Linked DNA regions of Schizosaccharomyces pombe. Changing the gene in region 2 together with the main gene of any one other region gives a genetic interaction. Each region holds a gene or a part of one and is shown on either strand. Other genes may lie near its edges.

Evidence for each region. Genes that interact genetically often act in the same process or in processes that back each other up.
Region 1: mutations in nop10 (region 2) and nup97 together harm fitness more than expected from each alone (negative genetic interaction), as found in Schizosaccharomyces pombe (one large-scale study listed by BioGRID).
Region 3: mutations in nop10 (region 2) and atg11 together harm fitness more than expected from each alone (negative genetic interaction), as found in Schizosaccharomyces pombe (one large-scale study listed by BioGRID).

Annotation. Positions count from the first base shown.
Region 1 is NC_003421.2:2,163,058-2,169,374, forward strand, and holds nup97 (nuclear pore complex component nup97), read left to right. Parts: upstream 1-1,963; 5' UTR 1,964-1,974; coding exon 1,975-2,168; exon of another isoform or gene 2,169-2,217; coding exon 2,218-4,579; 3' UTR 4,580-4,741; downstream 4,742-6,317. Other genes in the region: transcription factor TFIIF complex alpha subunit Tfg1, read right to left, coding at 1-66; protein Cwf26, read left to right, coding at 163-1,061, 1,102-1,108; SPOM_SPCC1620.12C (GTPase-activating protein), read right to left, coding at 4,742-6,317. UniProt on the Schizosaccharomyces pombe protein: Has a role in meiosis.
Region 2 is NC_003424.3:1,634,582-1,637,148, forward strand, and holds nop10 (snoRNP complex protein), read right to left. Parts: upstream 924-2,567; coding exon 746-923; exon of another isoform or gene 694-745; coding exon 677-693; 3' UTR 530-676; downstream 1-529. Other genes in the region: SPOM_SPAP27G11.12 (uncharacterized protein), read left to right, coding at 1-161; SPOM_SPAP27G11.14C (uncharacterized protein), read right to left, coding at 1,481-2,567. UniProt on the Schizosaccharomyces pombe protein: Non-catalytic component of the H/ACA small nucleolar ribonucleoprotein (H/ACA snoRNP), which catalyzes pseudouridylation of rRNA and is required for ribosome biogenesis.
Region 3 is NC_003424.3:2,629,945-2,635,143, reverse strand, and holds atg11 (autophagy associated protein kinase regulator Atg11), read left to right. Parts: upstream 1-1,592; 5' UTR 1,593-1,774; coding exon 1,775-4,555; 3' UTR 4,556-4,696; downstream 4,697-5,199. Other genes in the region: protein ahk1, read right to left, coding at 1-933; SPOM_SPAC7D4.05 (hydrolase), read left to right, coding at 4,961-5,123, 5,159-5,199. UniProt on the Schizosaccharomyces pombe protein: Involved in cytoplasm to vacuole transport (Cvt), pexophagy, mitophagy and nucleophagy. Recruits mitochondria for their selective degradation via autophagy (mitophagy) during starvation.

The DNA of each region.
Region 1 (6,317 bases), on a different chromosome or scaffold from region 2:
GGGTTTCTTCTCATCAGGATTTTCCTGCTTTACATTTTCAAAAACTTTTGTCTCTTGTGAATCCATGTTCTCCGATAAAATATGTCAATACTGATCTTCCGCCGGTGTTGGAAGGTAGCGAGTTAAGAAGCGCTCAGGTAAGAAAATATGCATTCAGCACATATGTCAAACGCCGACTATATTGCTAAAAAGTATTTACGAAAAGATCAAGGGAAAAAGAAAAAGAAGAAAGAGAAGGATTTTGTAGAAATTCAGGATGAAGATGTCGCTGGATGGGACGATGACAATTCATTTTCACTAGTCAACAGAGAACTCACATCTTTGCATGATGCCCCTACAATTGTCGCAAATGAAAGCCTTAAAGATCGAGATATTGATGCTATTTATCAGAATATAGAAAAAACTACTAATAAACCTGCTCAGTTGTGGAAAGCTGTGGGGAATGATGAAGTTGTCGAATCTGAACAACAGGATTCTCATGATGCTGAATCAATTCCTCAGTTCGGTCTGTTAACTGGAAAGCAGGTGACCTTTAAAGCTGAAGAAAGAAGAAAGAGAGAAGAGAAATCATCCAATCTTGATGAGGAAGAGCTTCGCAAAAGTCGCGAAACTGTTTACAGAGATGCCACAGGGAGAAGGATAGATCTGGTTCTTGCAAGAAAAGAAGCCAAAAGAAAATTAAAAGAGAAAGAGGAAGAAGCTAGAAGACAGAAGGAACAACAACAAGGTGTGGTTCAAGTGCGTCAACAGAAAGAATACCTAAAAGAACTTGAAAGGCAAAAAACGGTGCCATTGGCGCGTTATGAGGACGATCCTGAATACAATAAGGAATTGAAAGAAAGGTCTCGTTGGAATGACCCAGCTGCTTCGTTTCTCACTAATAAACCTGTATCATCAAAAGCTACTTATCAAGGATATGCGCCTCCCAATAGGTTTAATATACGACCTGGCCATCGTTGGGATGGAATTATTCGTGGTAATGGATTTGAAAATAAATGGTTTCAGCGCCAAAATGAGAGAAAGGCACAAGAACACGAGGCACATATGTGGGCAATTGAGGAGTAAGTAATCAGTTTTTGAATAAATCTCTAACGAAATCAGCATGTAAATATTTAACGATTTCATTATTTCTTCTGCTGAAAATGGAGGAGACTATTTGGTTTCATGTATATGATATTGTAATGCGAGTTGAACATAATCTCTTCTAGTTTACGAGTGTCAACCGAGGCACAATACTTGATTTTCCAGATTCTGTCCCATTTCCTTTAATTAACTAATGGCTTTGATATTTACCTACAAAAGCAAAACGCTTATAGCAAATAGCTTTATTGGGAAATCGCACACCACGAGACAATGGTAGCCTTATCTATACTAAAATATTTTTTGCTAGTTTATATATATTTATTTTTAAATTTCTGACGATTTCTTAATCCTATATTCAATTATGGGTCATTAAACGTATGAGTATGAGCGACCACGGCTGTTAGTAGTAAGAGGGTTTGAAATATCATCCATTCAGTTATTTCTCTAAATTCTGAACACTTTTTACCAATATTAAATATCATTTCCCTATTGCTGTCCCTAAGGGCCCAAATAATTCACTGCTGATTCTGTGAATTCATATGTATTGGCTTTTAAATGATAGTAAGAGCTAAACGAGAACAATCGATGTTTGAAAATAGTATTTTAAAATTTTTAATTTTATACTTTTTAAGCCCTTTCACATCCACATAGACAGACTTGACTTCACACTTGCTGTATACGTAAAGCAAAGCTTTTTGCATAAGAATTTGTAATTCCAACCGAGTACAAGGATGATTCAAATACTCTTTAACGTTTTACTGTTGACCTGTTTAGTATGAAATATTGTTTTTAACAATTAAGGTTCGGTGAACTCGGTGACTTCAATTTCCTTAGTTCACCGAGACAGATTCTCTCAAACGCATTGTGCTTGTTTACATCTTGACCATCGCCATGACGGTTGCGTCTGACGATTCACCAAAGGAAGCTAGAGGCATACCTTTTTTAGATCAAAAGTCTCGTAAACTTGCTAATGAGTTGTTGGAACCATGTCTTCCGTTTATCCAGTTCAATTTGGGTGAGATTGAACAACGCGCAAAACATTACTTGAACACCGTTCCTACTAGTAAGGATGGTAATACAAAAGCGTAAGTTATTTGTATCCTATTAGATATATTTGTCTAATGAACGATATAGCCATTATTTGCTTGCTGGAAGCGGTATTAATGCCGAACAAACATGGAAGAAAATTGAGTCGCTCTCTCTACAAGTAAGACCTCCCACTACTCTCGAGTTGTCCTTTACCGATGTAGATATGTTTTTGAAGTATCATCGAGAAAAAAATGTTTTAAATTCTTTGGAAGCATTGGTACAAAACACCCAAATAGCGTTCGATCAATATTTGGAAGAGGAATGGCGTTCCAAAGCTGCAAAAAGCAGACCCTCCTTTGATAATATTTTACTTGAAAATAAAAAGAGAGTATCCTTTTATCCTTTCTCGGTGCAACGTTCGCAGAAGTTTGCTTCCACTTTAAAAATGTGTCTTGAGGAGGAAGCACTGCACGGATTTCAATCAAAGCTTGTCAGTTCTTTTTGTGAGGTTGCAAGAGAATTTGCTCATGATACAAAGTCTCTTCTCCTTTACGAATCCTGGAAGTTACTTTCCTCTGTTATATTGGATAAGGATTCTGTGACAGTGTTTGGCAATAAAGGCATAATCTCAAAAGCCTTTGACATTGAGACTGAGGATGGCTCGGTTAACTCTCGGTTCTATCAAAGGATTTCTGACTGTTCCCGTAAGTTCCTTGAAGCTCAATTTTTTGAAGTTTTGAATAAGGAAATTGCAAAAACCCCCCAGGCTGCTTTGGTAGGCGGTGTTCCTTCAATACGTAACAAAATTCGAGCGTATTTGAACATTCGTCTATTAAGGAACGGTGTTTGGATTAATCCAGATTTAGAAATAATCCAAGATGTTCCTATATGGGCTTTCATATTCTATCTATTACGATGTGGTTTTTTAAAGGAAGCAGTGGACTTTACTGAAGAAAACAGAGATCTTTTTGAAAAGGTGGCTGAGAAATTTCCTTTTTATATCAATGCTTATGCGAAGGCTCCGAATGGTATTTTACCAAGGCAACTTCGGAGTCAATTGTTTTCTGAGTTTAATCAAACCATTCGTCTACAGGAATCTTCTGATCCTTATAAGTATGCAGTATACAAAATAATTGGACGCTGCGACCTTTCTAAAACTTCGTGTCCATCGATTTGTTCTGTCACTGAAGATTACATCTGGTTCCAGTTAATTTTGTCACGTGAATTTACTGAAAAAAGCGTTTCCGCTCACGAATTTTTTTCATTGGAAGATGTTCAACATATTTTGCTTTCGTATGGCTCCGATTATTTTACTAACAACGGATCTAATCCCGTTATGTACTTCTTTTTGTTAATGCTTTGTGGTCTTTACGAGCGTGCCATTAATTTTTTATATCCTTATTTTCCAACCGATGCAGTCCATTTTGCCATTACTTGCGCATACTACGGTCTGTTGCGCACTGCACCTTCTAGCTCAGTTGTCAGTAATGAACCTGGAAAGATTCAATCAATGCTGGTTGAAACAAAATCTGGGAAGCCTTCCCTTGAATTCGATCGGTTGTTAATCGATTATACCCAAACTTGTCAAGAATTAAGTCCTGTAATGTCTGCCTGTTATCTTATACCAATGTGCAAAATTGATAAATATATCTCGATGTGTCATAAATCTCTGTGCAGTTTGGTACTTTCTACTCGTGATTATGTTAATCTTCTTGGCGATATACGTGGTGATGGCGAGAGGACTCCTTCCTTTTTGGAGAATCACAGGTCTTTGATTGGTCTTTCTTCTGTAAAAGAATACTTATCAAAAATCACTCTTACTGCTGCTAAACAGGCTGATGATCAGGGATTATTATCTGATGCCATTCTTTTATATCATTTAGCTGAGGATTACGATGCGGCAGTAACAGTTATAAATAGACGGCTGGGCTCTGCATTGCTAAGGTTTTTGGACCAGTTTGTTTTTCCCGATAAACTTATATCTTTAACTAAAAGTATGATGGATGTATACAACAGAAACCCTTCTTTGTATGCCAAAGTGGATTACAAAAATCGCGAGACGACGAATTTGCTTTTATTGACTGTGGAGGCGTTCAATGCATATACCAATAAAGACTATGAACAAGCTTTATCGTCTTTACAGCAGTTAGAAATTTTACCCCTTGACCCACTTGACTCAGACTGTGAAACTTTTGTTGTGAGAAAACTTGCAAAAGAATTTCGATTTCTCAATGAAAATTTATTACAAAACGTACCTGGTATTGTTTTAATAGCCATGAACAGCCTTAAAGAACTTTATGCTAAACAAAAATCTTCATCTTTTGGAAATGACGCTATATCCGTGGATAAGTTACGCCTATATAGACAAAAAGCACGAAGAATTGTCATGTACAGTTTCCTGATAGAATATCGTATGCCTTCTCAAATTCTTGAACAGTTAAATCGCTGCGAAATAGAAATGACATGATTATTTTTTTAAGGTTGTTTATTCTATGTTTACTTGACTTCACTAAATTTTTATGCCTATACATTCATTGAGTCCTAATTATCCATCATTAAAAAAGTGTTGAATGCACTAGTCTTCATGTTAATAATAATAGCAATAAAGAGTGATCTTTGGTTTATCGTGCTAATTTCTAAACATCTCAGAGACACTTTTCCATTTAGTTTGTAGCTGAGCATGTTTTTCCTTGAGGTCATTTAGCTGCTTTAAAGTCTTTCCAAGTTCCTCATCAAGATATTGTATTTGTTGAATTGAAGTAGCATTGTTTTTAAGAAATTTTTGATTGCGCTGCTTAAGGATTGAGATTTCTTGAAGAAGCCTATTTTCCAATTCCTGAGGCTGTTTCTCTAATTGAGCTTTCAGATCAGCAGAATTATTTTTTAAAATTTCTGTAGCCTCCTCCATTTCGCTTCTTGTTACTCGATGGTTGGAAAGTGCTTCAGAAAGTTTAGTGTTTTCCTTATTCAACATAACCATTCCCTCCTCTAAATTAGTTATCTGAGAGGTTAAATAATCATTTTGATTTTTAAGTTCCTCTAAGTTATTTTGGCGATAGGTGTTGTGAGATACGGAGGTTTCGTGATATGAAAGATAGGATGGGAACTGAGTAGTATCGATGTTTAGAGCAAGTGAATCTTCAACCCATGCATTTAAGTCGACAGGAGTTCTTGTGTAAAATGTATACTTTTGGACCAGAGGCTGCCGATATGAAGCTAAAACGTCTGAGCGTAAATACTTAACCCACTGTTCATGAGAAACCATATTTACAATCTTGTCCCGATCCTTTAAAAAAATAGCAACAAGAAGACGCACAAACATTTCCAAGCCGTAGATAGCAATTAAATCCATAAGGCGGAGTGCTTCGGGTAATTGCAACGAATCGGCAAAGCAGCATGCTAATGATGGATATAGTATACACAATGAACTAACTTTTATACGTTGTAATGAGATAGCGACACTTGGTGCCAAGTCACCCAAACAACCCCAAACCAAAGCGAAAAGACTTTCGTCAAGAGAACTGGATTGGGATATGAAAAACTCACGAATTCCACCTCTTTGAATGAAACAAACTAGCGAACGGAAGGCGTTTCCTTGAGCCATATACGATAGAAAAGCACAAGTTAACCATAGCAAAGGTTCAATGTTATACTCAACAGTTGTATCAAACAAAGTAAAAGCATGCAAAACGTGAAATATAGACTCAGTTGAAACTTTATGCCTTGTAGTAGAAGAATATTTAAAAGGCTCCAAAGGTCCTCTGAAAGATTGCATACGAATAATCTTCCGAATAGAAGAATCCAAAGAATTATTAGTAGTACTTAAAGTAGCGTAAAGTGTTAGAAGTTCATTACGTTCAGCGGAAACAAGGGATTGCCAGACCAGTTTTCGACACGGAGATGGAATACAAAAGTTATTTTGTTTAATTAGTTCTAAAATCGGTGTCAAGGGAGGGGGAGAGGAGGATGTAGCATTGGGATTAGAAGGATCAGGCGGAAGGTCATAAGCAAAAAGAGGCACACTGGCCCATTGAAGCCAATCGATATTAGAAACGGGAATTGACTCTTTTTCACATTGTTGATTAAGCTCGAAAATGATTGATTGAATACGTGAATCGTTAATGGCGCTATTTAAATCGCCGTGAGACTTGTAGGAATCGCGTAATTGTTCAAATTCTGTTTGATTATTATTTATTTTGGAGGAT
Region 2 (2,567 bases):
AACCATACATTCCGAAATATAGAACAAAGGAATGGAGACAACAATTGGCAAATTTTGCTCGTCTATTCGCCTGGCAAGTCTCATGCGATTTAGACAGTCATAAAAGAGAAGGGCCAGGCATCTTTGAAGGTACGGATGTCAAAATATTTGACTCATTTTAGACTTGAAATCTCCTTGAGGATTATGCTTGAGCGGCATATCTCCGTTTTAAGAATTGAAATGGAGAAATTTGAACTATCCTAAGTTTTGTATGTTCAAAGAGTCTGTTTGAATAGATACTTGGCTTTTTACATCTGTTTTATTTTTTTATTATTTCTTTTCACAAATTGGTTAAAAAAATGTTGTTTCGTTTTTCATTCAGAATTACCACTAGTATGTTACTACTTTTATCGTTATTTTACATTCTCAGTAACTGTTTAGCATTTACTAAAAGATTTTATGTATACACCAGGGATTTATTCTTTGTAGTTTAATAGATAATAAATGCAAATGCCAAACAAATAATGCTTCGCAATAAACATCGGAAAATCAACTCAAGTTGAAATATATTTTTTTTTCAATTGAGCACACTACTCACATAACCAAAGAAAAATCAAAACTATTGATTATTTAACCAAAACCATACTTATGTAGCTCCCTTCTAAAGGCGAAAATTTTTCGACGTTTTCTTATTTGCTCAGTAAGGTTTTGCAGCTAATCGTTAGAACACTATCATTATACCAATTAATTTAATAGAAATACTTACGCAATTGAGTAAGTAGTACATGAAACCGTTTTTTCAGAGTATAACGTTGTCGAGAATATTTATCGTCAGGAGAGAAACGAGCAGGATGCGAAGATTTTGTGACTCTTCCATCTGGAGATACCTTTTTTAAAGTATAAACACGCTTTCCCTCATCATTTAAATAATACATCAAATGCATTGTGAAAAAAAAAACGGATATTACAATTTTCCTATGGTGCTGGAAAGGTGTAAATGTCAAAAGTACCTCAACTTCAGGTGACTGTTTTTGTTGCTAAATTACGCTAAAGCATTATAACACAGACATAATCAAATATTAAATTATTTAGCGACTCTCTTCTTTTATTATTCACTAAAATTTAAAAACAATACTGTAAGCAGAATAAGCAATATGGGGTTAAGGATATAGCAATCTTCGTAAAATTAAAACAGCTATTGTCATTATAATAAATTAGAATAAAATAATTTCTTTTAAAATCCGAGTTTTCAGCTATTAAGAAAATGCGATTAATTATTGACCAAATCAGATCCAACTATTTAGTTTACATCTTTAACATACGTTTGCTTGGAACATTTAGTAATTGCACCTTAGTACACTTAACTTATGGGTTATTAAACAAGGGAGTTAAACCTCTATTTTAAGCAGTTCGTTTTTGATTGTCTTTCTTTAGGGAAATATTATTTTTTTTTTTTTATTGCGCATCTAATTAAGATAGATAATTAATTGATGTCTTTGCTTTAATAATCACTCAAAGAATTGCTCTTTGTCTCCTTTTCAAACATATCCATTAACGTTTGACTAAGTTTGTTCCATGCAACCTCCCCCATTGAATTTTCAAAAAACAAAAGTAAATTAACCAACCGCGGTAGAAGACTGGATTCTGATAAATCATCGTCAGAATATCTTTGTACTCTGATATATTTCCTTGAACAATTGAATATATGGCTCAAATTATCATTCCTAATGATACACTGTAATCCACCTAACTTTTGCACTGCCTTTAAGCTTGATGGGTAAATTATGTACGGACATTGTTTGTGATTATATTTTAGTAACTTCTCTGCTTCTCCGAGATCCAGCGTTTTCCCCACATCTGTAATATGCCAACAGAGCATTCGAATCGGGTTGATCAATAGTCGAGATATAAACCAGTGCGAACTGAATGATTGGTGGTAAAGGCTATTTTCAAAATTTCTTTGCATAAATTTTAAAATAAGTTCTTGTATAGCGATTCTCTGTTTCGGTGTAAGCGACTTTTGTCGCTGATGAACAAATTCTGACAAGTATTGAAACAACGTTGATTCATTGTATTGCTGACTATGTAATTTTGTCAGAGCGATTCCTTTCCTGGAACAGAAAAACAAATTTTTCAGATGAGTAGAAGACATAATTTGATACAGACCACCCATTGCAGCTACAGCATGTAGATGGTATCGTTCCAAATGGAATGGATGGGCAAATGATTTAAGAAATAAGCGGTTTGCCTCCTGTAATACAACCATTTTTTTTGCAATCATTAAATAAGAAATCAGACATAAGGTTGGCTTAACCAACAAGCTAGCGAGCAACGTATTAAATGAAGAAGAAAAAGAATTATTGAAAAGTTCTTTTTCGGATAACTCTTTCCTGGCGACGTTAAACTTTGAAACATATAAATCAAAATTTTGGTATATAGTCTTTTCTGATTCAGGAATAGATAATATTGAAATTGACTCGTTAGATATTAATTTATTAGGAATCACAGTTTTTATGCTTCGAGTAAACTTGTAAGTTTCTTTTTTTGTCTCCTCGACATTTATTGTTTCGTATAAAGAGTCAATCATG
Region 3 (5,199 bases), 1.0 Mb from region 2:
GCCCAAAGCATCAATGTACTTTTTCTTTACATCTAATGCGCTCAAGAAATGGTCGGCAAAAAGTGGAAGTTGAAAAAAGGAGAGAACCAAGATACTCGCACAAAATGTCGTTAATGAATACGGCAAGGACTTTTGAGAAAGCAGATGAACTACAAATGTCAATGTATCGTAAAGTATTAATTGGTGTTCCAAGTACAATAAAGCAGAGTGTTCCACTTTGTTCCAACAATGATGCTTGGCGATAGCAAGTATGGCCTTTGTATATGTGATACGTTCTGAAGTAGAAATATTAGATTGTAAACGTCGAAGAATGGATACCCACCAGTTATACAAAGAATGCCTAAGTTTATCCAATTCCGGTTCGGAAACGTTTTTAGTGGTTAAAGAAGCCAAATGTGGTAATAAAAACCCTCTTATAAGAACTACCTTATCAGAATCCTGCTGATTAATAAAATTGATGAATTGCTCGGATAAAGGACACTTTATTGGAGAAACCAGTGGCTCCGAAAGACGTAAGGTAGATTGGACGGCCTTATTTATTAAGCTAGAAGGCGCTATCTCCTCCGCATTAAGGCGTAGGCTTTGAGAAGACAACTGAGAAAAAGGAGAGGTAGAACGAGAAGAGGAATCAGAAGATGATGATGAGGGTGATTCGTTGTAAGGCTCATTTAAGATTGTTGAGGAATGGCTTACTAAAGTGTTTTCATATTTACCATAATCATCTGTAATCGAAAATGGTTCAAAGTTCGAATCAAGGTCGTCAGCTACAAGCACATTGGTTGTATCGACGGGATCATGTTCCTGAATACATTTTACCACAACAGGATAGTTTTTTGTTTGGGAACCCGAATGCTCTTCCTCTTTAAAGGAGGCTGTATTGGGAGGACCCATAATAGCGGCAAGGATCTCATATCGTGATTGAAAGTCACCCATTCAGAATTTCAGAAATGAAGCTAAATGTAAAGAAAAGAATAAGTGTGAAATGCAAATAAAAAGAATATAATTAATCCCTAGATTAAAACCAAATTAATTAACATGAGCCGTGCAATCACCACTAATAAAGAAATGAAGATTTAAAGGACAAGCTATGCAAATGCCAGAAAAAAATGTACCAAATATGCTAAAAGATGCTCAAAAGTTTTTCCTACAGTAGAGAAATTTTGACTTTTTTAATTTTTTAAAAACTTTATCGATAAAAGACAGAGAAATCGGTAACCAAAAGATTCGCGGTTAAAAAAACAAGAAAAATACTTCCGAGTTTAGAATACTTGTATTCTAAAAGAATGAAAAGTAAACAAGTAGAAGATATCTTTAAATTAAATATATGAAATCCGCAATGTAAATTAGCATCCCCAACACTTTCGTTCACACCCAGTGTAGATGCTTGGTTAAGGCTGAGTTTCCGAACCCACCAGCTTGAGGGTATACGGCTACATATGACATATATTTCAGTAGACAAACATAATAAAACCAATAATTAAAATTGTTTTTTTAAGCTAAATGAAAAGACATTTGAAATTTTAAGCTGTATTGTCTTACAGCTTCAACTCAGTGTTCATACAATGCCAATCTCCTTTTGGTAGTTAGTACCCAACAATCGCCTAAACCAAATAGAACCCGCCAACTTACCAAACAAAACGGAATATAAGGACAGAGAATAACTATATGCAACGGATTATAAATAACTGATATTGAGTTTTCTTTTAGATCAAATATTTCAAGTTTAATGTTGGGGAATCGCGAATGATAAAGTTAAGCAATACAATAGGTCAGTATGCGTTTTCGATTGAATGATTCATTCTCCGGAAAGAGTTGGACCATAGATAATGTACAATGGACTCCCCAAAATCTTGTAGCTTGGATTATGGAGCTCAATATTGGACTTAGTGATGAAGCAAAACTATTATTGCCGAACGGAATGTCTTTGAATGAAACCGTACTAAATAGTGAAAGTGATGTGGTTATTTACGTACTAGATCAAAACTTGTTGACTTTCACCTACGATGGTGATAAAATTCCTTCTATTCCTTCTCTGAAAGGACAACCAATATCTAATGTACTTACTGGGATTATAGCTGATTCTTCTTCAGATCAATGGAAAGATAAAATCAGCAAGTGTCTTTCATTATTATCTGATATTTTAGAGTCTTCTTCAAAGATTCATAATCAATTAAGCGTATGCCATGATGAGTATTCTACTAGTATTGTTTCTCCAGAAGTTGCAATGAATTATTTACAAAGAAGACAATCTGGTATGAAAGATTTACTTTTCGTTTTCTACGAAAGACTAGATCGAGTATCTGTGTCTGATTTACTTCATGATTTCCTCGCTCTACCAACTGGTTCTTTACCCATTACTCCTCTTAAAATACTTTCAACAAATTGGACTAAATTGGACTCCTGGTTAAACTCCATTTCAGCTCGTTATGCTGAAGCTCAAAAACGAGTCCAACAGTGCATTGGCGCCGCAAATAGTATTATCGTTTCCCCATTCAAGGAAGTTCCTTCAATCAAGGAAGGAGATGATGCTTATTATCATCTACGTTCCGTCGCTCAGGATGCAGCCAATATATTGCAAGAGATCCTTAAAATAGAGTCAACTTCAACTACTTCTCAAATCAAACCAAAATGTAATTACGAAACCGAAATTACTGATTGCATGGAAAAACTTCAAAGTAATCTGTCGGAATTAAAAAGTTCTAGAAAGTCATCACTAATATCTTTGAAATCTTTTTGGCTTTCCTTTTATAAGGTTTCTCTTAGATATGATGCATTGTACGAATATCTTCGACAAATAGCAGAAGAGCTTGACAGAAGCAAATTCGTTCTTTCTCAGTCTCGAAACATTTTTTCGCTATATATCGACATTTTAATGGAGGCACTGAGGAGGACTGAATGGCAGGAATCATACAATGTAAGCCATGATAGTTCTCTTCCTTTAGACCAGGAGAAGGAGCTTTCTCTTAGGAAGTCTTGGCTCAGTCATTTCTCTAATTTGCTTTTTAATCATGGCCAGCTAAAGTACTTACCAGTTTTAACTCGTGACGAAATTTCTAATTATTTACTCAATATTCAAGCACATCCGAATTACCAAACTTTTCATCAAATGCTAAGCAATCGGCTCTCAGAATATTTGGGCTTTCCTGGAAGTCCTCGAGAAGCCGTTTCCAATACGGTTCAAGCGAACAATTCATTACATGAAAAATTGGCAATGTATCAAAATCGTTGCAATAATTTAGAGGCAATGTTAAGCCATCAAAACGGCTTTAATTATAACATTAACAATGATGGTTTATCTCCAAATGCTCCACATCCACCCATCAATGAGCAGTCTAATTCTTCTCAGCCATTTTACCGTGTTTCCCCTAGTATTGTGCCTCTAAACGTAATTCGTAAATTAACTAATCGCAAAACTTCTTTTACCGACAGCCACATATTACGACTTCAAGATGAGGTTAATCAATTACGCAACGAATTAGATTTGGTAAATAAAAGAAATGAGGACTTATTAATTGAGCTTCAAGGGAAGGAAGAAAAGATCCAATACCTCGAAACTGAAAATGAGGAAGTGCTACAAAAATACGAAAATTTACAGGAGGAACTTTCATCAACACGGAAACTGCTTACGAAAAATGAAGCGGCAGTTGCAGAACAGCAATCAAACGAGGAGATGCATTCTAATGAACCGAACATATTAAACCTTTACTCCGTATTTGAGGGCAAAGTTGATAGCTTGCAAGAACTTTATAATGCTTTCAAGCTTCAACTCACGAGTTTGAAGCAAAAGGGCGAATACGCTACTCTTGCAAAAGATGCCGAAGCAGTACAACATATTATTGAAGAGAGAGATTATGCTCTTGCAGAGAAAGCTGATTTACTCAAACTTTCCGAGAATCGAAAAGAACAATGTAAGATATTAACTCAGAAACTTTATACCATTGTATTCCGGTGTAATGAGTTACAGTCTGTTCTTCGGGAATGCGTTACTCAGCCTGGATTTGATTCAGATAACGAAAGAGATGGCCATGCATCGATTCCAGATCGCCAAATTGAATTTAATTCCAAAGATTTACAGTATCTTTATTGGATGGATGGGGAGGATGCTGATAGGAATTTCCAGGAATTTTTGAACAGAATGAGTTCTTTAGATTTTGACTCTTTCCATAACTTTGTTGTCAGTGTTTTGACTCAAGCACATAATCATGAACTTCGTTGGAAACGTGAATTTCAATCTAACAGGGACAAGGCGCTGAAAGCTATTTTGGACTCTCAAAGTAAAGTCTCATTAAGGAATTTCAAACAAGGATCCTTGGTCTTGTTTTTGCCTACTCGACGTACCGCCGGTAACAAAAAGGTGTGGGCGGCTTTTAATGTTAACGCTCCTCATTATTATTTGAACACTCAACCGCATTTGAAACTTGAAAGCCGCGACTGGATGTTAGGAAGGGTAACTTCCATTGAAGATCGTACTGCTGATGATTCGACGGATAAATGGCTTCGCCTGCCTTCAGGTACAATATGGCATTTAGTGGAAGCTATCGATGAAAGATTTTAAATCATTATGTGACCTAGCTTATACCTTCACTTGCTTTTTCTTTGCTTGTATTTGTGGGACTGATTCTATATGACAGACATTTGGTATTATCATACTTCTATTTTTTCAGGTTTTGATCTGTTATGGCATTATTTACTGAAATTTGTTTTTTGGTCTCGCCTAGTAAGGTATCCGACGTAAATTAACGACTACTATTGCTGTAGCGTGTCTCTCGTCTTGTAACATGATAAATTTTTAATGAACTTTTAATCTATTCGTATATTATTTAATATGTAGAACGCAATCGCTCGCAATAAAAGTGATTTGCAAATATTATTTATCACACCGAACAACGCACTGGTGGTAAGGAGTACCTTATGTAAATTGCTTTGTGTAGTGTGTCCCATCAAAGTACAACCTGGAATTATGATTCCCTCAAAAAATATCCAAAAGATCAAGTTGGTTACGTTCGATGCTTTTGGAACAATCCTTCATTTAAGTAAACCTGTTCCAATTGTGTACAGCGAAGTCGCTCAGAAGTATGGAGTTCATGCAACTATTGATGAAATTGAACACAATAGTAATAAAGGTTAGCTTTTGGTTTCTATTTATCTAATAATTTAGCATTCAAGGATTTCAGTGAAAAGCATAAGAATCATGGAAAA